Caenorhabditis elegans: one gene and its partners. The protein of the gene in region 4 interacts with the protein of the main gene of each other region in a pairwise test. Each region holds a gene or a part of one and is shown on either strand. Other genes may lie near its edges.

The links.
Region 1: the proteins of lin-15A (region 4) and alp-1 interact in a two-hybrid assay, tested with the Caenorhabditis elegans proteins (2 studies listed by BioGRID).
Region 2: the proteins of lin-15A (region 4) and mua-6 interact in a two-hybrid assay, tested with the Caenorhabditis elegans proteins (2 studies listed by BioGRID).
Region 3: the proteins of lin-15A (region 4) and C27H5.2 interact in a two-hybrid assay, tested with the Caenorhabditis elegans proteins (2 studies listed by BioGRID).

What each region holds. Positions count from the first base shown.
Region 1 is NC_003282.8:8,850,676-8,855,524, reverse strand, and holds the start of alp-1 (PDZ and LIM domain protein Zasp), read right to left. Parts: upstream 3,026-4,849; 5' UTR 3,012-3,025; coding exon 2,913-3,011; intron 2,407-2,912; coding exon 2,261-2,406; intron 996-2,260; exon of another isoform or gene 980-995; coding exon of another isoform or gene 948-979; intron 866-947; coding exon 757-865; intron 627-756; coding exon 469-626; intron 230-468; exon of another isoform or gene 170-229; coding exon of another isoform or gene 77-169; intron 33-76; coding exon of another isoform or gene 1-32. Other genes in the region: T11B7.5 (uncharacterized protein), read left to right, coding at 1-32, 77-169.
Region 2 is NC_003284.9:16,261,750-16,267,262, reverse strand, and holds mua-6 (Intermediate filament protein ifa-2), read left to right. Parts: upstream 1-1,576; 5' UTR 1,577-1,581; coding exon 1,582-2,057; intron 2,058-2,278; coding exon 2,279-2,465; intron 2,466-2,520; coding exon 2,521-3,273; intron 3,274-3,451; coding exon 3,452-3,613; intron 3,614-4,557; coding exon 4,558-4,674; intron 4,675-4,731; coding exon 4,732-4,782; 3' UTR 4,783-4,974; downstream 4,975-5,513. Other genes in the region: Serine/threonine-protein kinase sgk-1, read left to right, coding at 5,212-5,233. UniProt on the Caenorhabditis elegans protein: Cytoplasmic intermediate filaments provide mechanical strength to cells. Essential protein, involved in attachment structures in epidermal cells that connect muscles to the external cuticle.
Region 3 is NC_003280.10:7,153,993-7,161,473, reverse strand, and holds C27H5.2 (TAR DNA-binding protein 43 N-terminal domain-containing protein), read right to left. Parts: upstream 5,894-7,481; 5' UTR 5,792-5,893; coding exon 5,767-5,791; intron 4,424-5,766; coding exon 4,331-4,423; intron 3,608-4,330; coding exon 3,485-3,607; intron 3,442-3,484; coding exon 3,316-3,441; intron 3,224-3,315; coding exon 3,120-3,223; intron 3,055-3,119; coding exon 2,779-3,054; intron 2,733-2,778; coding exon 2,650-2,732; intron 2,601-2,649; coding exon 2,498-2,600; intron 2,451-2,497; coding exon 2,239-2,450; intron 2,191-2,238; coding exon 2,082-2,190; intron 1,966-2,081; coding exon 1,862-1,965; coding exon of another isoform or gene 1,825-1,861; exon of another isoform or gene 1,791-1,824; coding exon of another isoform or gene 1,769-1,790; exon of another isoform or gene 1,465-1,768; intron 1,081-1,464; coding exon 1,011-1,080; coding exon of another isoform or gene 963-1,010; exon of another isoform or gene 860-962; intron 768-859; coding exon 627-767; 3' UTR 513-626; downstream 1-512. Other genes in the region: C27H5.12 (Ferrochelatase), read left to right, coding at 1-126; fust-1 (RNA-binding protein FUS), read right to left, coding at 6,191-6,295, 6,344-6,953, 6,999-7,137, 7,345-7,382.
Region 4 is NC_003284.9:15,729,989-15,735,889, reverse strand, and holds lin-15A (Protein lin-15A), read right to left. Parts: upstream 3,923-5,901; 5' UTR 3,916-3,922; coding exon 3,637-3,915; intron 3,170-3,636; coding exon 3,080-3,169; intron 3,029-3,079; coding exon 2,591-3,028; intron 2,086-2,590; coding exon 1,981-2,085; intron 1,934-1,980; coding exon 1,766-1,933; intron 1,708-1,765; coding exon 628-1,707; 3' UTR 525-627; downstream 1-524. Other genes in the region: Protein lin-15B, read right to left, coding at 4,279-4,344, 4,394-5,467, 5,521-5,901. UniProt on the Caenorhabditis elegans protein: Synthetic multivulva (synMuv) class A protein. SynMuv proteins are required to repress the induction of vulval development.

The DNA of each region.
Region 1 (4,849 bases), on a different chromosome or scaffold from region 4:
GAAAAGCTGCTGTCGCCGGAGGTTTCGACACGGTAATTTCGATTGAATTGTTATGATAAAGAATATCAATTTTCAGGGAGACTACCTTCCGCGCAAGAAACGCGAGCTTTTGTTCATCGATAACCTCACTGCAGCTTTCAGAGAAATGAGAAGCCGTCGTGGATTTTAAATACATTTAATTTGTTTTTCGTTTCTTGAAATTGAATGATAAAAAGCGTTAACGTCTTGTAATTTTTGGATTAATTTATGAGACTCGGAATTCGACCGCCACTTCTGACCCAACTGCCCCAAACCTAAGAATTTTGTTCAGAAGTTGGTAAAGGGTGAACAAAGCTTGGCCATGACTTGTCTCAAGAAATTTTTTTGTAAAATATAGGCCAACTTCCGAACTAAATTTATACTATATTTTCTGGCCAAATTGAACTATAAGTGCTCTTTCAAAAATTTAGTCATGTAAAAAACACTCACCCTGAATTATCTCCCAATCCTTGAGTTTGTTGAACATATTGCTCAGCTGCAGACTTATCGGAATAAATTCCCAATGGAGAATTGTATTGCATATGTTTCACACGTTGATCTGTTTCAAAAGGAAGTGCTGAATTGTTGAAACCTTGTGGTGGACGGGTCTAAAAATAATTTATTATTCACTATTTATTAGAAATTTTAAAAAATGTTATGCTATTGTCGTTAAAAACGATTACAAATAACGATTTTGTGTGAAGCTTCCTATTTCAAAACAAAACTCAAATGACTCACATCACTGCTATGCTGCAAATTGACACGATATGGGGTTTGATCCTGTCCTGGTCCAGTATTTTCAGTTACTTCTGGACGCCAAATTCTGGTGGCTGCACCGGATGGTTGCCTGAAATTAAACTTATTTGATATGAATGAAATCAAAATTTATTTATTTTCTATTTAATCTCTTCGATTAAATTTCAAATTACCATGGTCTTGGCGTCGTTGTGATTCTCACCATCACTTTTGAATCTTAAATCATTTCAATTGAACATGAAATATATTTATAGGAAAATGGGTAAACGTAAAGAAAAAGGAAACTTGCAAGTTTTTTTGTTCAAAAATGATAAACACCTGGAAAAGGGAAATATGTGAGAGGAAGTATTCAACAATTTCATTCTCTCAGTTTTTGTGTGCGAGAGGGTGAATAAATTGTTGGAACACTCTGATACAACAACAGAGAATGAAATAAAAAGAACAGTGTCAGAAGTACATTGCTTTGTCATGAACTGACTCATCATTAAAACCCTATTTATTTAAAATTCAACTGTTCAAAGTAAAACATAACATTCAGGAGAAAATTATGCGAATTCGGGAAAAGTAAAAGCCAAAATAATAATAATTGTCAAACTGTTTTGTTTTGGTATTTCTTAAAACTATACAGCAGTTTTGGAAAGAATCTTGAATGCTGTGGCAGTTATTTTTGGCAATTCTATAACATTTTTCCATGCAACTTTTTTTGCAGTTGCTTATGTAAAAAGTGCTCAAAAATAAGTTTAAAGGGGCAAAAATATCTGAAGCTTGTTAAAACTATCAACACAGAATGATTTTTGAGGGAAAAAGGTAACGAGCTTCAAATTTAATGACATTAGAGTGCTTATAAGAGGAGCAAAACTTGTGTTGCAAAGCTGTTGCAAAGCTAAAGAAAACATTGATTGGGACATTTGACCGTTTCAAAACAGTTCAAAACAGTTGCAACGATTTGTCATCAAACGGAATATGTATGTATAAATCCTAAGTCCCTCCTTCTTCCTGCAACGAGATATTCGGAAGAATGTTGCCTTCTGCTTCCCCCGTACCGATTGGCCTGATTCTTATCTGTTCGCCTGTTTATATGGCGGGTGTTCGCTTCGAAAATTTTGGATATCTATATTCTATTGCATGAAGCACTTGCTGTTGGAGATAAACTAAGACGCAGACGGATTAAAAACGGAAAGGTAGGATACATTGGTGATGTGATTAAAACGGAGAACACTTTGACTGGTTAATAAACGGAAATACAAACTGGTAAGTAACCTACTTTGAATTGCGTTGTGATAACAAAGCTACAGATTACATAACTAGGGTTGTGTACATTTTCAAGGGATCGATTTAGGGGAAATATTCGAGAAAATTATGTCTTTCTTATTATTTTCACACACCTGCTCTGTTTATATATAATTTTTATTTATTGTGGTCGACACAAATTTTGAATAATTGGTGCTATACTGATAAATTTGAAGTGTTTAACGAGATGAGTTACCTGGTAACAATAAGTTCAATCTTCTCATGAGCTGTAACTAGAAGTCTATCAACAGCGTTTATGTCCAAATTGTCAAGATCTTCCAAACGATCAACAACATCTCCATTACGAAGACCGGCACGATCAGCTAAGCTACCACCTATTACCTGAAATTTTCAACTTTTATTCGATATTCAACTTGTTTGAATTGAAGGCTCCCTTTGCTTTAAAAAATCCCCCAACGCATGTCAATTTTTCAAATTCATTTTTTCTTACGTTAACGACTAATCTCTCACTACATTTTGTCTATGAGTTTTGAGAGAAATTTTGAAAGCATCTAACTTATTGTAATAAGTGATGTTTTTTGTGTTGCTCTTCCGATTTTCCCTGGGCATGTCCAGAGGATAAAACTGCGAGAGAAAGTGAGGAAGGCGATGAGATTGTAAATCAGTTGTGGTGATGCGGTGATTTTTGAGATCGCGGTAAGAACCTAGAGGTGCTAAAAGTGAATGTGATGGGTTTTCTTGGTTTTTGTATTAAATGTATACGAAAACATATGCCTCAAGACTAATTTTTACGACAAATTTTATTGTGATTCAATTTGGACAAACTGACAAACTACTTTATGACAAATAGGGGGACACTTATACTAAATTTATAATAAAGAGCTTACATTAACAATAAGAACAGCTCCATCTGGGGCTTCTGTCACACCGAACCCCCATGGAGTTCGGCGATCCGAACGAGCCATTCGAACGGTCACACGTTCCATCTTGATTTGACTACCTGAAATTTTATTGTGTCCTGGTCAATAAAATAGAGCGAAACAAATAAAAATAAATCAAAGTTTCAAACAGAATTTAGTAGAACATGTTTAAAAAAATATTGTCCAACCGAAAATATTCATTTTGTTTCAAATGTGTACCACTTCAAACGCAGTTATTTGCTAAAGCGCAAACGTTTCAGTCCAATAGTTACACGAAATCTTCAATAACCACGTGGCGTTTATAGATGAAAAATTTTGCAAACATTTTGACATTTTGAATTTTTACTTTTAATTAAAAATTGAAAACAAAAAAATCGTATTGTTTTCCGTATAGTGCAAAATAGAAAATAAGAGTAAAAGAAGGGAGAGTGAGATTATGCTGGATTTTGTATATTTATCGACTGTCGGGCAATTTGACGGGGGAAATGGTAGTGAATGACTACAACAGAAAAAAAAAGATTGTTGAAAAAGTAAGATGTTTTATTTAAAATTAATAAAGAAATTCAATTGAAATTATGAAACTGAGCATAACGAGTTTTCTGATTCGATGAGTCATTCGTGATTGACAGTTAATTTTTTTTATGGAACTCTTATCGTTTAACGGAACATATAGTTTTAAACTACGTTTAAAAAACGATACCACACCCAATAATTGAAATTTTAGTTTTTTCCAATTTTTTTTTCATAATCAGTGTGTTTCATAATGAACACCGTATATTACCCCAGTTTTGTAGTTTTATTTCTAACTGCCAGTAACATTTTTTAAACTTTTAAAGAGGTGATACTTTTTGTAGGCCAATCTACATAAACTTATGAAAGTTTTATAACATAAAGTTTTATAACAACAAAGCTAACGATTTTTAACATGAAGTCCTGTATCTCCGTTTGCAACTTGAACATTAGTATTAAAGTCCTACAAACCAACCAAAAAAGAACTATTTGAACAATCTGGTAATGCTACTTGCTTTGAAGTAAAAAATAATTATAAACACAAAATACCACGAATGACGTTCTGAACTAAACTTCCTAGAGATCTATCGTATGTGAGCTAAAATGTTGGCAAAAAACAATCTTACATGATCCTAAATACATTTATCGAATTGCAGAGTACAAGTTTTATTCAAAAAAAACCGTGCCAACCTTAGGCATTGGTAGATTGCCGTTCATAATCTAAAAAGTAGTTTTAAACATTGTTTTCTTATATGAGATGGGTGATTTCAGATTACATCTTCAATTTTAGGTTGAAATTGCATTGTATCAAGTCTAGAAGTATACAGAACTAATGTATAAATTAAGACGGTTGAGTTCCAAAAAAAAATTCCAAAAAATCAACTTGGTGTTGTGTTGCGGAGGTGGGGGTTCTGCTGTTCTGAGGTCTGTGCGGATAAAGCTTCAGGCCCAACGGTGTACGGCACGCGCGGGCGTGAGCACATCCTCTCGCTCGAACTCTGACATTCTCTCGCTCTTCCCGGCGCGGGAAGCCTTCTCGCACTTCATGGCCATCTCCTCTTGAGCTCCCGAGAGCCGGGGGAGCTCTCGGAATGATATAGGGATGATTTTGAGGAGGCGCAGGTATTGGACGTGTTTGTAGTAAAGCGAGTGCGCGTTGCTGATTATCAACGAAAAGGGGAGGGGGATGGGATGATAAGAAGACCGAGACGAAAATGAGAAGAAATTTGGAACAAAAGTGCGATTTGTTTGAAAGAGCTTGAGACATAAAAGTATGAACACTTGTTAGAGTAGTTTGTGGTATGAAGTATAGGGTTTTTTCAAATCACAAAACGTTTACATTACCAAGTTTATGCCAAAAATGAGCCATGAGCGGAATTATAAATATATTATAC
Region 2 (5,513 bases), 530 kb from region 4:
ATTCACTGATTTTCGACATCTAAATTTATATGTTTTAATATATTCTAATAAACAACAGTTAGTTGATTCAGTTGTAAAGGTGGAATAGCGCCAGTGGGGAATGTGTCAAAAACCACTCCTATGGTCTCAAAATAACCAAATACCATGATAAAACATTTCAAAAAAATTGGAAAACTTTTTATTTACTGTCAAAAAGTGACAATTGCTCAGTTTCTGCCACTCATAATTTTGGAAGTCGACCAAAAAAAATTTTTTTTTCTACATATTTTATAATGCAATTTTATTTAAATTATTCGTATTAAAACATTGTAGGGGTCGAAACATGCGACATTGCTTTGGGTTTCCTTAAAAGACTCATATTTTCAAAATTTTGGCAATTCTCCTCGTGGTTTTGGCCTATTATAAGTGTATTTAGGCAAAATCTCCATTTGCGCTACTTCACCTTAAAGTTTATTACAGTTATAGCTTGTGCTTATTGCCTACCTAGGAACAGTAGAAAATTAAAATTTTCTTTGTTTCTTCTCAAATTTTTTTCACTTTACGGAGAAAGAAGTAGTTAAATCATTTAAGGGAGCTGATTTCAAATTCTATTTATATTCCTTTTTTAATTAACGAAAACTAGAGCACAAATATTAAATAAGACTATTGGCTTTTAATTGTTTTGATTATTCAAAAATAACAACAAAAAAAACCAAAATTCATGTTGCAGCTAGATCGGTGTAAAAAAACTGTAGTTCTTTGACTAATTACTTTTTGAAACTAGTTTCTTCATTTTGAAACTAAGAACAAACATTTAAGAAAGTTTCCTTTGAAGTTTGCCGAAGTTCAATCACTAAAAATCTTTTTTGCTGTCTCTTCACATTTATCTAATCATTTTAATTCGAGGCAAGTGGGTGAATTCTGACATATCTATCACTTAATCTATCAATTAGTCACCTCGAATCGAATATTTGAATAGAATATGTAACAGTTAAACTTCACAATCTCTCAAGACGAATAATCATTAATCAAAACCACACCCAATCGTGTTTTAACTGACTCCTGACTCATCTGGACGACACCCTTTTCTGGTAGTAGAACAATAATTCACTTACGGGAACATGTCCATCTTCGTCACTTTTGCAATCACCAATGGAGGCGGGGATTGCGAATGGATAAGTGGTCAGGAAAGAGAGAGAGAAAAAAAACGATAAATTGGAGAAAACCGCTCCCTTCCATCATCTTCACTGCGCCGCCCATCTCCAGCCCCTCCCGATCCGCCACCTTCTTCGTGTACAAGAAATGTTGATGGGTTGGGAAGGAAGAGGTGAGGCAGTTTTTATGTCGCCCTCCACCTCCCCTCCCAGTTTTCAATTTCTCGATTTACTTATGTAGGTGTGGTTAGTTATATTCTCAAGAGGGTGTGTCTCGGGTTTTGTCATTTTTCTCACATTGTCCCTGAATTGCTATATTTTTTTGTTTCTAAGTTTTCATAAAACAATTCAAATTAGACAATCTGATTGTTTCAACTTCTCTCTATTTTCTTGCTCCCCAATATATTATAACATAGATTTTTCTAACAATTTAAAATTTTCAGACATAATGACCGATCCAGATTCCTACCGCAGCTCCATCACCTCTCGCCCATCATTCAACCGCACTGTTACCAGCAGTAGTCAAAACTATGGAGCACCAGGATCAGGGAATCGTGTGCTGAAGATTGTCACCGAAACTCACTCTTCCTCAGTTTCAAGTGGACTCTCCCCATACGGACAGAATGCTGCGTCCACCATCCGAGACAACCGTGAGCGTGAAAAGAAAGAAATCATGGAGCTCAATGATCGTTTGGCTAGCTACATTGAGAAGGTCAGATTCCTTGATGCTCAGAACAGAAAGTTGGATGCCGATCTGAAGATGCTCCAAGGAAGATTTGGAAAAAGTACCGGATCTGTGAAAGTTATGTATGAGATGGAGATCACCACTGCCACCAATGTTGTCAAGCAGACAGGAAAGGATCACGGAGAGACTGAAAAGGAGATTCGTAAGCTTCAGGATCAACTCGACGAGTTGCGAAAGAAGTGAGTTTAATTGAGATGAGAAACCATAGTAAATATGAAAACCGTAATGATTCGTTTATATTGATAATCTGCTAAATCTGGATCCTATTCTGGAGAGTTTGAGCAATTCTAGCCATTGCTCCAGTATCACTCCGTTAAGAAGTTGAAACTTTGTATATCCTATACCATTAATACCGGTCCCGTTTATATCTAACAAAATTCACATTGAATATTATTTTCAGGTTTGAAGAGGCCCAAAGAGGGCGTGCTGAAGATCGTTTGAAGATTGATGATCTTTTGGTTACCCTTTCCAACCTCGAAGCCGAGATCAACCTTCTCAAGAGACGCATCGCCCTCCTTGAGGAAGAAGTTGCTCGCCTGAAAAAGGAAAACTTCCGGCTCACATCTGAACTCCAACGTGTTCGCATTGTGAGTGACTAAATCATGAAGTATTCGGAAAAAAAGATACAATTTTTAATTTCAGGAGCTCGACCAGGAAACCCTTCTTCGTATCGACAACCAAAACAAGGTGAAGACTATTCTGGAGGAGATTGACTTCATGAAGAGAGGATTTGAGACTGAGCTCAAGGAGCTTCAGGCTCAAGCTGCTCGTGACACCACTAGTGAAAACCGCGAGTACTTCAAGAATGAACTCGCTAATGCTATGCGTGACATTCGTGCCGAGTATGACCAGATCATGAATGGAAACCGTAATGACATGGAATCCTGGTACCAGTTGAGAGTTCAAGAGATCAATACTCAATCCAACCGCCAAAACGCGGAGAACAACTATCAGAAAGAGGAGGTGAAGAGACTCCGCAATCAAACTTCCGAGCTCCGCCAAAAGCTTTCTGATTTGGAATCAAGGAATCTTCTTCTTGAGAAACAAATCGAAGATCTCAACTACCAGCTCGAGGATGACCAAAGATCCTACGAAGCTGCCCTCAATGACAAGGATGCACAAATCCGCAAGCTCCGTGAAGAATGCCAAGCTCTCATGGTCGAGCTCCAGATGCTCCTTGACACTAAACAAACCCTTGATGGGGAGCTCAAGGTTTACAGACAAATGTTGGAAGGTAATTCTGAAGGAAATGGGCTTCGGCAACTTGTCGAGAAGGTCGTCCGCACATCTGCAATCAATGAAGAGGCTGACACCGAAACGATGCGCGTAGTCAAAGGAGAACACTCCAGCAGAACATCTTATCAACGTTCAGCTAAAGGAAATGTGGCGATCAAGGTGAGGGATTTATTTTCAAGTTTTTTGAAAATTGCTTTTTCGCTAAAATAAAGCTTTGACGTTCAAAAATTTAAAACTTCCAATGGCCATTGACTGTAGTCACTAATAATATCATTCCGACATAAAAATAATCAATTTATCACTTAGTACATACTCAATAATGATAATTTCTTTTCAGGAAACCTCCCCAGAAGGCAAATTTGTCATTTTGGAAAACACACACAGAGCCAAAGAAGAGCCACTCGGAGACTGGAAGCTTAAGAGAAAGATCGACGGAAAACGCGAGATCGTCTTCACCTTCCCATCCGACTACATCCTCCACCCATTCCAATCTGTCAAGGTTTGCGAATTTCTACTTCTTTCAGAAACAAGCCTAGCTACCCAGGACCTGTCGCGTATAAAACATTTCAAATTGGTGTCTCAGAATGAAATGTGTTGTTGTCTCTGTGTGTGTGTGTCGAATTGATAATCTAATGCGCGATTGCGTTTGGGTGTGGCAAGGTCATCCGTCCGTAATGACTAAAGGGGGGGTAACTTTGCTTCGAAAAAGAAAGATTGGGGATGTATGTAGGAGAAAAAGAAGGAATAAAAAGTGATAAACAAATTGATGGAAACTGTGAAGACAAACGTTGTTCACAGAAATCAATAAAAGGGACAGATGAGATGTGAGATTATTTAGGTCAGCTTTGAAAAAAAATGTTTTCAAATAAGGTTTGAATAAGAAATGAATTTGAAAGAAGCAATTATTTATTTAAAAGGTGGAGTAGCGCCAGTGGGGATTTTGTCTAAATGCACTTATAATGATCCAAAACAACCGAATATCATAATAAAACACTCCAAAATTTTTTTTAGATTTTTCATAATTTCCGGTCAAAGTTTTGGCAAATTCCCAAAAAATTTTAAAATACTAGCTTTTGAGGAAATTCAAAGAAATGTCGCATGTTTCGACCCCTACAATGTTTTAATACAAACAAAATTAAAACATAAAAAATGTCGAAAAAAAATTTTTTTTTTGATCGACTTCCAAAATTATGAGTGGCAAAAACTGAGTAATTGCCACTTTTTGACAGTAAATAAAAAATTTAAAAATTTTTTTTGAAAAGTTTTATCAAGATGTTTGGTCATTTTTGGACCAAAGGAGTGGTTTTTAACAATTTCCCGACTGGCGCTACTCCACCTTCAATCAATTTCATACAAAACATTTTTCATAAAAAAAAAAGAAATTCAAGTGAGGTGTTTTAACATTAAAAAAACCACTGTAAAGACAAATTTCTACATTTCCAGATCTTCGCCCGCGGACAAGGAATCGCCAATCCTCCAGAAGTGCTCATTTTCGAAGGTGACGAAACATTCGGTGTTGGCGCCAACGTTCAAACAATCCTTTACAACAATAAGGGAGAGGTAATTCAACCCCCAAAAATTTACGTGCAGAATAAAATGTTATTTTTTTCTTTGCAGGAGCGCGCGACACACATCCAACGTCAAAGCCAACAAACGACATCTTCCTAAATCTAGCTTTTTGCTTGAGCTATTTACTGTTTTCTTCTCTTTGTACCAGAAATCTGAACCCCAACTCTTTGCTGCCTGCCTGTTTGCATTTTTTCCGTTTGCTATATACTTTTTCACTTTTTTGTTTCTTTTTCCTCCGGTAACTTACTCATTTTCAACAATAAATACTTTATACAGATCAAAAAATTGCCATATGGAATGTTCATTTTTCATTTGAAACATTGATAGGAAAAGTAAGGTGGGGAAATATTAAAGGTGATAACGTGATCAAGAGCAAATAAGAAAGTCAGACGAATGGCTCGGTGAGCCGTGATAAGAAGACAAGGTCCAACCCAGCGATTCTAATCAGTTAACACGAGACAAGATACATCGAAAACCCACATTCGACCTGGTGGCGGTTATTCTAAATACGAGAGCATTACTGTGACAATGGGCAGCATGTATTATAATGGTGAGTCAAAGATTAAACCTGGCTGGTTCTGTGAAATGTTTGTATTTGTTTTAAGAAATTCAAAATCTGAAATGTCTTAAAAGTCTCAATTTTTTTAAATGGCTGATAAAATTTTGAAAACCTAGCTCTTCCAGATAAAACCTAGATTTCTGCCAACATGTCACAGTTGCGGCGGTCTGAAAACATTAGTTGATGGGTGCAAAAAATACTTCTTACTCCTGAAAACAACTTAATCAACGAAAAAAGTCATAACAATAAATATATTCATTAAAAATACATA
Region 3 (7,481 bases), on a different chromosome or scaffold from region 4:
GACCCAATTAACGCTGTGTTTGATAATGAAATAATTCTGGACAAGATTTTGAACAATGTATCGAAAGATGTTTTTCCCTTGATACCGTTAAGGGTATGGATTTGTATTTCGAGTTCAACTTGTTGAAGAAAATATTCAATACACTCAACAAAATAGAATGCCAATCAATTGATTAAATGCTTCCGTTGTTAACCTTTTTCAATTACGTGCCTTTATATATTTTATTACTTTCAATTTATTCATAAATATAAACGTATTTTCTCGTTTTTGATTTGATTTTACGATGAAAGGTGGCTCAGTTTTTCCCATTGATAATTTTTTCTTAGTCAAACTTCTGTGCTGCTAAAACTATTTTCAGTCCTTCCCATTCAACATTAATTTTTCCAGCAAGAATTGTAGTGAAAAAACACAGTACTTCTCATTATCAAGCAATTTTTAGACCTAGCACTAGCCCAAATCAGTATAGTTTTTGTACCGATAAAAATTAAATCATATATGTAAACTGTTCATACTTTTTACAAGTCAGTGAAGAAACTCTTTATTACATACTCTAAATCTACGCCGTTATTTTTTAGATAGAAACTGAAGCACACTCGGATTATCATCAAATATTTTCATCGAATTATTTACAAAAGATCTGAAATTTCTCTGCGTGAAGCTGTGGCATCTGCTGCCAACGAAGAAACAAGCACATTGAGCTCAGCAACTTGACTATCCGATTCTGCGAGTCTTTCTTTCAAAACTCTCACTTGACGGGCTAGATCTTCCTGGAATAGTCGGAAATTGAATATGTTAGATATTTGAAATTATTTAAAGCGAAGCCATGCAAACATAAAATCAGCTTTTCACAGCAAAAACATGAAATAAAAATAATTTATTGAGAACTTAAAATAATCAGATATGTGTCGTGATTTTGTGAAATTGATTCATAATGAAATGATAAGCCAAATGGGTTTTTTTAGTTAAAAGCGAATTGAAGACGACAGACGATGGACTGGACTGCCGCTCACCTGAGCTTTTATATGCATTGCATCGGAGAGACGTCGAACTTCATGACGTTCATGTTCCAATTCTGATACTCTGTAATTATTCAGATTTAACACTCTTGAAACAATTAAATCTCACAACTATTATTAAACTTTGCAAAAATATTCATAAATTTTCAATAGTTTTCAGCTACTACAATTTTGGAAGTTTACCAAAAACTGTCTTTTCTACTATTTATATTTTTTTTAATGTTCAAACCTAGTAGAGCTTTGATAATCAAGAATGCCCTATAAAATGTCCTTATAAATTTCTCAAAAAGTCCAGGATTTTGAGACAATTTGCCAAAACTTTGACAAAAAGTTTTCAAAAACTGTGCTGGAATGGAAAAGTGGCCTATAAAATAACAGATTTTTAAAATGATATTGCAGTTGATTCTCCCATTTAACGGTATTCCTTGCTATTGAACAAAAACGGTTATGAATCCAAAAATTTTATTCATTTTAAAACTATTTACAAATACGAAAACTGATTAGGGTTGAGCATAACCGAGAAGGAAAACCGTTAAACGGAAGAAACCGGAATTTTTTGGGAAAAAGTGAGATAAAAGGAATATGGATCAAAACGTTCCAGGTACGTTGGAAGGAAACGAAAATTTGTGCATTTTCAGGGCATTCAATCAATTATTTTGGTTACTTATCAACTGAGACTGTTAAGATTTCTTTCAGATTATGGTTTAAAAATAATAAAAATATTCGAATTATCAATTACCAAGTCTACGAATCTACCAGTCCCAGATGACGTTTCTGAATTAAAAAATAGAAAAAATGCAAGAGTGATCTAGATAAGAGAATACTCGAGCAGAGGATCAGCTGACCTTCGAGCATTTTCTGCTGCTTCCCGGGTTGCTGATTCAAGAATTGATTGAAGATGGACAAGTTGTTCACGTAGAGATAACACTTCTGATTCTGCTGCGTATTTCTGAAATTAATTAATTTCTTTGGCATAAAATAACTATTAAACATTAGAAATGGATTTCTAACAGTCTCTTTTTCATCCCGCCCAATTTCGATTCAATTTTTTAAGTAGAAACTTACAACTTTATCCCAATCTTGTTGTTTCTCTTTCAGTTCTTTTGCCCAATTCTCATTCACACAAGCGAGTTCATCATCAACATGTGCAAATCTTCGTTCCAAATCTTCGTTTCTAAATTATAAATTTTCCAAAAATTTGTAATAACTCCATCAATCTAACCTATTCCTTAATTTAGCATTTTCCTCGAAAACCTCTGTATGAATACTTTGCATCTGTTTATGATTATCTTTTGTTTCTTCTGATTGAAGTTTCATATTTTCATTTGTTTTCCGAAGTTCCTTATTTTCCTGAATTGCGTGAATAAACGTTGGGATATTCTCATAATCCTCAATTCCAGCTGCATCTGCGAATGGTCTCAATTGATCCAGTTCCTGAAGTAGGTACATTTTATTGAAATCTGAATAACAATTGTTCTTACTTTTGACAAAATATCCTTTGATGAAGTAAGCATTGATATAGTATCAGACATTTCTTTTATTCTATTGTGACTTGTTTCAAGTTGAGCTTTTAGTCCGTGATTTCTGAAATACTAGTGAAATATGGAAACGTTTGCTATTCACCTCCACTTACTCCTCCTCTACATTCATCAATTTCATTTGCAGCTCGGTAACATTTTCCTCCAAATTTCCAGATTTTCGGTTCAACTCGCTGATCTGAAAATTATCAATAAATATTTGAAACTGGAAATCTTTGTCTTACAGTATGCCTCGACTCTTCCAATCGTTTTAATGCTTCACTGACCATTTCCAATTCCTGCTGTTTGCAATCAACCATCGCATTTGCTTCAGATAAATTTGTCTCGGTCTCCTTCAAGTTTTTTTCCAAAATTCGTAACGTTTCATTCATCTTTGTGATTTCCTGTCGATTGGCATCAATAATCTGATCTTTCGCAGTTGAAATACGGCATAAATCCAAAAATTGTTGTTCCAATGGGCTTAGTTCTCTTCCAGCGGTTTTCAACATTTGTGAGCGTTCCTAAAAAATTGATTTTGTGAAAACATCTTTTTGTGAATAAAAATGTCAAAATAAAGGATACCTACCTCAATTGCTTGAATCGGATCAGGGGTTACTGTAGATGATGAAGTTGATGAAGCTGTTTCACGAGAAGAAGTGTGTTGGCGCTTCTTTGTAAGATGGCTCATATCTCAAAGAGCAGTTTGTATGTTTGATTTCAGGAATAAATTGATTTCATATGGTAAAAATTATGAAAATTATGTGCTGAATGACCCTTCTCACCTATTTTCATTCCAGAAGCCAACATCATTTTCTGCACTGCTTGCACACTTTTTTCAAATTGTTTTGTGGCGTCGCTGTAAGAAGCAGTATGTCCCGAATTTCCAGCAGCTGTATGACATCTTTGACCTAAACAAAGTTGTTTGCGGTATGTCCTTGTGGTAAATCTTACTCAAAGTCACAAAGTATTCTCGATCATTCCATGCTCCGCCAGGAGCCATAAACTTTTTTCCATCAAATTTCACTGATTTCTTGCATGAGTCACCGATTTCTCGGTAGTACATCCCAGAACATCCTGTAATTTTTTTTCCTATTTATTTTCATTTTTTCTCATTCTCTCCAGTTCCTGCTGCTATCAATTTCTGTAAAACCCTTGAGAAAATATACGGATCAATAAGACACAGACTGTAACAGATAAGAAAAGCTTCTTCTTCTCTCTCTCTCTCTCTCTCTCTTTTTGGGCGCCAATTCTTTTGCAATTATTCGCATACTTTGCATACATGTTGATTCGATTTGATTACATTGAAATAAACCAAGAAAAAGGTTAGCAGAAATGAGAAGTGATAACAATTCTATGGGTGAGGTGACATGTTTGATGCCTACATCAGAGGGGTGTGTGGTAACAAAAATAACACGGACTGTTCCGCTATTATCTATTTGTCTTGTCAGCAGAAATTCACGTGAATCATCAAAAAATGATACAGTTTGTGTGTTGTCAAATGAAAACATTCACAAAAAGGAAAATTCAACAAGAATTTGGAAATTTCTGGCTACAGTACCTACAGTGTACTCGTGTTGATTGTTATTTTGAAAAAAGTCACAAAAATTATGAAAAACTGAAGAACTGTCTTCTTTCTTCTATTAGCTTCTCGGTTGTCTATGATTTGATTAAAAATGTTTTACAACTGCCAAATCCAAATGTTCTTGCTATTTTTTCTAGAAGTTTTTTGTTTGACACAAGCCTGAATGCATCAAATTAAAATGCATTATCTTCTTGTGTTCCGTTACAGTAACCCACCTGGAAATGCAGTTTGAAGTGAAGTCCACAAGATACCAGCATCTTCATCTAACTCTACTTCAACAGGTTCCACCCCGATTCGAAGAGATTTAACTGCAAACATATCTATTTTACTTTTAAATATCTCCCATCTTCCTTCCGTTTTATTACTTGTTTGATTAGATATGAAACCAAATTATATAAGTAGTTACGGGTATTGAAGAAGATGAAATTGTGTGGGGCAAAAAAATGTAGGCAAACACAAATTTTTTCAAGTTTTTGATTCGAAACACGATTCGTAGGTCATTGGGTAAATAGGCAAAATATCAACTGAAGATATAGAGACTCAGACATTGACATGACCGAATAAGCTCATTGTGCCGGAGAAAAAATGAGGAGAAGGACAAAAGAATTGAAAATGTTTAAAGAGCTTCTTGTTTCTATGTGTTTCTATGTGTGTTTTTTGAGTTTGAAAAATTAAAAAAATGAAATTGAAAGCGAGGAGAGTATTTATATAAAATAAACCACACAAAAAAAATTAAAAATTGAATTCCTATTATGCACATTAGAATTTTCGCCATATCTTACGTGCATGGGTCTCGCCACGCGGACATCGAGTTACTGTAGCTCATATTAATTTATGGACCGAGATTGTATCAACCTTTTCAAATTAAACGAGGTACTGGTGGCGGAATTGTATTAAACAAAAATATGATGTAATATCTACCTGTAAGTTCTAACGAGTTACAGTAACCCGTTGTCAGCGTGGCGAGACCCATGTTCATTAACCATTATCAAATAGTTTCAATAGGAAAGTTCAAAAACAAAAAAACTATTTTCAAAATTGAATACTTGTGCAACTACATAGATGTAATTATTGAAAATCAAACAGCTGTTGTGATCAAGGGTGTCAATGTCCCGTAAAAATTTCGAAAACGGGACAACGGGAATTCCCGTTCCCGTGAAAACACCCCAAAAACGGGACAACGGGAAAAACGGGAAACGGGAATTGACACCCTTGGTTGTGATTAATGCGCACGGATATATTCAGATGGGTCTTGGTGTGCGAAAAAGTTTATGGTAGTCTGCTTTTGGATTTTAGCGACTGCGTTTATTTTCAATAAAAACTACTGGTTATTCAGAATCAGATTTAAAATTATAATGAAAATTAATTTAAAAAAAACTACCATTAACTTTTTTGCGCGCGAAGACCCATCTGAATAAATCCGTGTGCCTTTGTGAAGGCATGTCAGAGTCTATTTAAATTACGATGTAACTTTCTACGTTTTTATCTTCAAATTAAATGTTCGTAGAGCCTATCAATCATAAAGTTTAAGAACTATACTTTAATTCTGAATCTAAAATAACTTTCATTGATAGTTTTATATTTTTATTCTGAATATGCGAGAATAATCTTACTAAAAATCTATTCTCATAGCGATTTCTTCGAATCTTACCTTGTAGTCCTGTAATACTGCTCATTAGTCGGTCGAAGTTTCGAACGGACAGTCTCTCCCGGGTAAATTGGAAGAATGAGAGGTGGGCGCCGAGGCAAAGGGAGGTCGAGACGAAAGAGATGGAGAAGCAGATAGTGTGACGTAGAGATGAAGTGCGGAGAGAAAACAGACAGTGACACGCAAAGCAGCTGATGGGTAGGGAAATGCGGACAATTGCAAAAAAAACAGATGTTAATGTGCAAAAATTTTTATTTTCGTTAAAAATAAAAAGTGGGAAAAAATGAAATATAAAAAGAACATTGAAATTTGAATGTATCGAAGTAGAATATAAAGGTGGATATAAAATTGTTACAAGTCTCTCACATTGAAGAGATCAGAGAATTTAAATTAGATGTTAAAATTTATGGGGAGACGAGTTGATGGCTCAATATGGACGGTATCGGTCACCTCCTGGTGGTCCTCCTCGTCGCTCGCCACCACCACCTCCGGATCCTCCATCTGGTCTCGGGGCTTGGCATTGATTGCATTCCTAGAAGAAAACCCGTGTTTTTTTTTTGAAAAAACAAAATTAACTAACTCTTCTGAAAGCGAAGTTGCTATTTCCGCACTGCTCACATGGCCAGTCATTCTTCCTTTGTTCCATATTAGCATTTCCGCCACCTACTCCACGGCCTCCTCTGAATCCTCCACGATCGCCACCACGGTCGCCGCCTCGGAATCCTCCACGATCTCCTCCGCGGAAGCCTCCTCTATCACCACCTCGGAATCCTCCTCGGTCTCCGCCACGGAATCCACCGCCACCACCGCGACCACCATCGAATCCTCCACGACCACCGCCGCCGCCATATCCTCCACGATCACCGCCAAAGCCACCACGTCCTCCCATAGGACCACCACGACCACCTCCGAAACCGCCTCGTCCACCACGACCACCTCGTTCACCTCCTGCATCAGCGCGGAACTTGGCTAGTGAAATACTCATCGGGCTTGAGCCGCCAGGGAATGGTTGCCCATTGTACATAGTTATAGCTTGTTGAGCTGCAGAAGCATCGACGAATGTTATCATGCATTCTCCTTTTGGTTCTCCGGTGTTGCGATCGGTGTAAATCTTGATTCTCGGTCCGCGATCGTTCTTTGCAATATCTCCGCAGGTACTGAAGACGTCGGCGATGTAGGCTTCATTTGCACTGAAATATAGATACATTTTTTAATTGGGCGATTACAAAACATACGTGGTGGAAATTCCCTGCACAAAGACGGTCTCCTTCAACTCAACTCGCCCATCGGATCCGAATTCGCGGTTTCCTGAAGCAGCACCACCGCCTCCGTATCCTCCTCCACTTGGTGGTCCGTCACGTCGGGGTCCTCTGTCTGCAATGAAAATATGAAAACTTTTACAAACAATTTTTTCGTCCAACTGTCAATAATATAAAGCACAGGAACAAGTATTTTTATATTCGTTTAATGTTTTTTGTTTTTGAATTTCGATGATAAACTCGGTAGGATACCCATTTTTTTTTAATTTTGGTAATAAACTCGTTGTGGTACGAAAGATAAAGCAATTTACGTATTCAATACCTTGATAACCTCCTCTTCCTCCTGGAGGTCCGCCCTGTCTGCAAAACATCATTCTTGAATGGAGTCTTCTGTCTTCTTCTCTCATGCTAACACCACAGTAAAATGTTTTCAGATTTCGACCGCGCAATAATACACCT
Region 4 (5,901 bases):
GTTTTCGGCAAAATGGCAAATTGCCGAAATTGAAAAGTTTTGGCAAATCGGCAGATTGCCGGAATTAAAAATTTCGGGAAAACCGACAAATCGCAGGAACTGAAATTTCCGGCAATTGGCCGGAATCGAAAATTTCCAGCAAATCGGCAAATCGCCGGGAGTGAAAATTTCCGGCAAATCGGCATCTTTCCAAAATTAAAAACTTCCAGAAAATCGGCAAATTGTCGGAATTGAAAATTTCCGGCAAATCGACAAATGGCCGGAATTAAACATTTCCGGCAAACATAATTTGCTCTTTTTTGGAATTGCGGTATGTTGTTTTATCTTTTGGATACGGGTTTCAATCAATAAACACCATTAAATTTTTTTTCTGAAAAGACGTCAACAAAACCAACACGCACAAAACACTTTTCTAACCTGAAAAATTCCGTGTGACCGAACAAAAATTCATTGCAAAAACTTTTAATTTCAGACTTCCTCCTCACGAAATGCGCTAAACTCGAAATTCTTGAAATAGTTTTGATAACAAGTAACATATTTATAAGATCGATTGTGATGAGAAAAAAACAGTTTAAAAAAAACATGAAATTGAACTAAAAAGATAATAATCAAAGTTATCAAGAACGTTTAAAAAATTGGCTCAGGCTTTGGATCCATGAGCAACTCTTCCGGCTTCTTTTCCATGTGCGTTGGCGGAATATGTTTTGGCTCACTCGGTGCGGCGGCCACTTGTTTCGCAAGGTGAGGATTTCGGTTTCTCACAACTTTAATCATGCGTCTTGGTGAGGCAGATGTTGGCTGATTTAAGAGATCCGTTTTATTCTCTACCGATTTTCTTGTTCGGTAACTCATTGAACCAAATGCAGTCGTTAACATTCTTCCTAGACGGACCGCTGGTTTCTCTACGTTCGTTTTGGTTGGTGGTTTTTTTTCAACGGGGCTCGAAGATTCCACGTGGGTAGGTTTGTTTTGAAGAAGCGTAGGTACTAATTCTTCTTCTTCTTCTTCCTTTTGAGGCGCCCCAAATGATTGACGTATTCCCTCCATCTCGGATGAGCTTGATGAGTCTGTGGACGTAGAAGGCTGGTTTTGTGCACGTGGCGCTGTAGTCAATGCGTCTTTAAGAGTATTAGTGCGAAGAACGACATTCCCTTGAACTACAACTTTCGGAGGTCCGGTTCCGTTTTCAAAACGCAAGTATTTCTTTCCATTGACAACACAGAACTTTAGTGGCGCAGATGGCGGAGTGGGGGAGCTTGGCTTCTCACCAAATGCATTACGAGCATAAGAAACTTTGGATTTGTGCAAAAGCGCCTCGTCGGCAATTGAATGACCTTCCAAAACACGCGTTGCTAGGTGAACATAGTCAATTGGAGTTTTCGTTTTTTTTGCGTTCCATGAGATACTCGATGATCCAGCATCATCCTGTTCAGGCGAATGAAGCTTTCGCTTTCTGCGTTCTACAGTGTTCTGCATCTCACTTTGATTGGGAATATACGGTTCACTAGGTGCATCTTCACTGTGATCTCGATAAGCTTTTGCAGCTGCAGCAGCAAACTTGTTGTCAAGAATATCCTCGATTTTCCGTCTCCGAGATGTGAAACGATTATCTTTCCCATTGATGAGTTGAATGAGTTCTTGCTTATCAGCATCACTGAGGCTAAGATTATGATTCAGCAACTCATTTAGATTCGTCGATGGAGGCACCTTAAACGAATAATTTTTTAAATTTTTTTAAAATTTTCACAAGTGTCACAAGACTCACCGATTGCAAAAGCGCAACCAGCTCTGAGAACGGTTTGGGAGACGGTTTACTGAGAGACCCATTGACCATCCTTGGCACGTGGTTACGGTAATAAGATTTAATGGAATTCTTGAATGAGTAAAGCGGAGTGTTCGACGTAACCTTCCCTTTGTGCAGGTCGCCGACTCTCTTAAAACATTTCACCGTTGTAGAACAACGAGATATGACAATCAAACCTTCAGTGCTCTATAGATATCATGGCCACGCATCAATCTGTCCGGTGGCATCTCATTGATCTCGCTTTCCGTTTTAGCTTCAAAGGCGTCGCACATCATTTCGTACTGAAAAAGTGGTGTATGGTTTTTTTTAAACTAAAATCTCTAAACTAAAAGGGGGCAGGATAGCTCAGTCGGTAGTGGTGGCCGCTAGCAATCTGGAGGTCACAAGTTCAAGTCCAACCTCACCACCTAGGTTTTCATCCAGCCTCTATTGGTAAGTAGAGCAGTCCACGATAGGATTATCGGCCACAGTCCCCGGCTAGGACGTGGCTTAAATTATAACTCAGTGGGAGCACCACCTGAATCCCAGATCCGTAGTGCATAGGACTTGAAGAACGGATCGTCCTTTAATTCTTGTTTTCTAGTCTAATGTATTAATATCGATCACATATATAAAATAAAATAGAGGTTGTACTAAACAAAACACCAAAAATTTTGAACTTTTGCCATGAAAATTATAAATAAAATTAATAACTTTTAAATTAGAATTTATGTTCTAATCAGCTTTAGAAAAGTTTTCACAGCTTTTCAAACTTAACTATTTTGAAAAAAATACTGAACAACTTACTACAAAATCAACATGATCATAGCACATCCTTAGCCTCTCATGACGAATCGCTTTCTCTGCAGTTGCCATTCTAAAGTGGCCAGACATCACTGCCGCCATCAAAACTTTCACAGCTTCGTTATCAGTCATTGCAATGCTTTCTCGCATTAAAAGAGCCTTCTCGCAGAGTATGCACGGAGTCAGATAGGTACAATACGTGTAGTCACTCGGTTGAGATCCCTCTCGTGTGGCACGGGGTTTCGAGGGGCTGGGTTCACTTGGAAAGTGTGAAAAAATTTCCGCGCTACTTTTGAATTGTCCCTTGCTTGCAGCCGCCGTCAGAACATCCTTCACGCTTTGCGTTGGTGTTGAGTTTGGAATTGTATTCGCAAAATGCTTCATGATCGAAGCAGACTCAGCTGATTGTTCTTCAGTTGCTGAAGCTTTTTTCTCTTGGAGCTGAAACCATATACGCATTATTATGAATAATCTTCAAACATTTCTGCTTACCAATCGAACAGATTCCATTGACTGGGTAGGTGTTTGTATTGTCTTGACTTTTGGAATTGTCTTTTTTTCAGCTTGTACATTGGAGTTTGGCTGAAACATTGAAGATAGAACACTTCTTATTCAACCTTATCATGATTCAAAACGACCGAATATCATAATAAAACACTCCAAAAATTTTTAGATCTTTCATAATTTCCAGTCAAAGTTTTGGCATATTGCCAAAACTATGAAAAATATGAGCTTTTGAGGAAATCCACAGCAATGTCGCATGTTCCGACCCCAACAATGTTTTAATACAAGTAGGCAAAACAAAATTGCATTTTAAATGTAGGAGAACATTTTTTTGTCGACTTCCAAAATTATGATTGGCAAACACTGAATGATTGTCACTTTTTGACAGTAAATAAAAAATTTTCAAAAAATGTTTGAAAAGTTTTATTTTGATATTTGGTCCTTTTGGCACTAAAGGAGTAGTTTTTAACAATTTCCCCACTGGCGCTACTCCACCTTTAACTAGATATATCAGAAAATGGGAGAAAATCCTTAAAAAGCCATACCTCTCTTTTGACACCAACAACAACTGCGGCAATTGGGTTGAAATGCCGGACGAGCTCCTGGAAACATGTGAGCTGCAGAGCATCCGTTCCAATGCCGGCACTTTTAACAAACTTCATCGCTAGGGCATTGCATTTCTTGTTGAAAGCCATCCGATCGTTCGCCAAGCTTGACATTCGCATAGCATCAACGTTTTTCATTCGAAATTTTCTTTTCGCAATGATTTCTTCTTTTTCATCTGCCGAGACAACATCTTTAGCTGGAGCCGCTGGAGCCAACATTAGGAATCTGAATAAGTGATAGTGTATGATAAGCAAGATAGGAAAGTAAAGGAAAATTGTCATTTGGTGATGTGAAACCATTTGGAAAGAATTAGAAAAAAACCAGTTGGCATCAAATTTCGGTGAACATTTATAAAACTGATATAAAACTACAAAATATAAAAATGATGAGATCATCTCATCATTGTGAGGTTTCAGATGAATGATGATTAAAATAAATAGGTAAAATAAAAGTGGTAATTTTAAGGGCAATCAAAGTAACAGGGTAAAACTATGCGTATGACTTAATCATCAAAAACATCAATGGAGAAAAAATTATATATAAAAACAACAATCAGGAACGGTGGATGAAAATATTTCCACTTATTCGTTGCTGGGTGGTGTGGGGGTTGGCAGCTTATTAGCATCTTTGCGCGGTCGTCCGACTGGCTGAAAAAATATAAAAATAATTCAAAGCATATATTTTTCAAAAACTCACTCTTCCAGCAATCTTGGGCTTTTTAACAATTGGAGATTCTTCATACTCTTCCTCCTCCTCTTCCTCATCAGCAAAAGCAAAGCTTCGTCTAGCAACAGCTTGTCGAATCAATCTTCCACTTGGTGTTTTTTCAGGCACGTATTCGCAATCTTCGCCGACAATTTCTCCGTCTTCGAGTTGTACGTAACCTTTCTTAAGTGCACGTCGTTGAGATGTTCCCGGATTGTAGTCGTAGTCGGTGAGGCTTTTTTCAGCTTCTGGTGTTACACTATTCTTGGGATACTTCCTTGGGCGCCCTCTTGGGTTCGGAGTATGAGCAGGTGGTGTTACCAAGTTAAGAGGTCCATCCTCGTTTGACAACTCCCGCTTTCTATAGGTACGTTTTATCACTGGAGCATTGTTGTAAACTGCTGCTTGACTGGGCTCGTCGTCTGAAGTCTCTTCCGTTGGGGATCTTGACATTTCTTCATATTCCTCTTCTTCTTCTTCTTCCTGAGTATATTCAACACCGTCGGGGTTTAACATATTCGCCAAATCAATGGCTGAATTCTTATCAGTTCCAGACTTGCGCTCTTTGAGTTTGAGGAAGTTGTTCCCTTGAATGATATACGTGGTCTCAACTTTTTCTGGAGCAGCATCTGGAATCATTCCTTTCAAAAGTCTACCACGACTGCTGAACGCTGCATCTGGGAAATGGCTTCGGCAAATTAGGTTTTCCGTATTGGTGTGAAGTCGGGCTTCAAATTCTGGTCCAAGCTTATCCACCCATCTAGCCAAACGTTCCTCACTTCTCGGGACACGAAGCATTCCACCTCGGTCGCCACGTTTCGAACAGAAGCAGCAAACGCCCGGATTGTCGCATTCCTCATTTTCAGACGGTTTGACAGTTGGGAGCTTGAAATCTTCCTGCTCTATAACCTTGACAGTTCCGTCATGCTGATCAGCTTCCAGAACTTGCTTGCGTGGCTGGCGAAAGAGTTTCGGTATGATTTCTTGCTCATCCACATCGTTTCTCTCTGGCTCAGGTTCGGGCTCGCGGTAGTCAAAGTATTGTTGTCCAAGTTTCTTCAATTCCTAAAAACAATTAATTTGTTTCAAAATGTGCAATTTTAAAAACGGAAACTTACCGCTGGCGTTTCACGAAGATGATTATTTCTTTCGGCAAAATCGTGAAGAATCTTTCGAAGTTGTGAAGCAATAATGTGTGGACGGAGGGCGGAAACAGTGATCAATGCGTTCTGAATCAAGTCCAATGGGCAAATCAGAATATCATCGGCAGATTTCAGACGTAGCATCTGGTAGATCTCGTCGAGGGTCTCCAGGAAATGGAGACGGCAAATGTACGTTTTGCTCTCACGCGCCATGAAAAGCTGTGCCTGTCCTAGAGTAAATTCTCCGCGATAAATACAGCCCAACATAATCAACAGCTTTTCATTTTCAATCGTCACATTCTTCAGACGCTCGTGGATTTCCAAGTGACCACATACTGCACAGCGACGGTTGCAAGC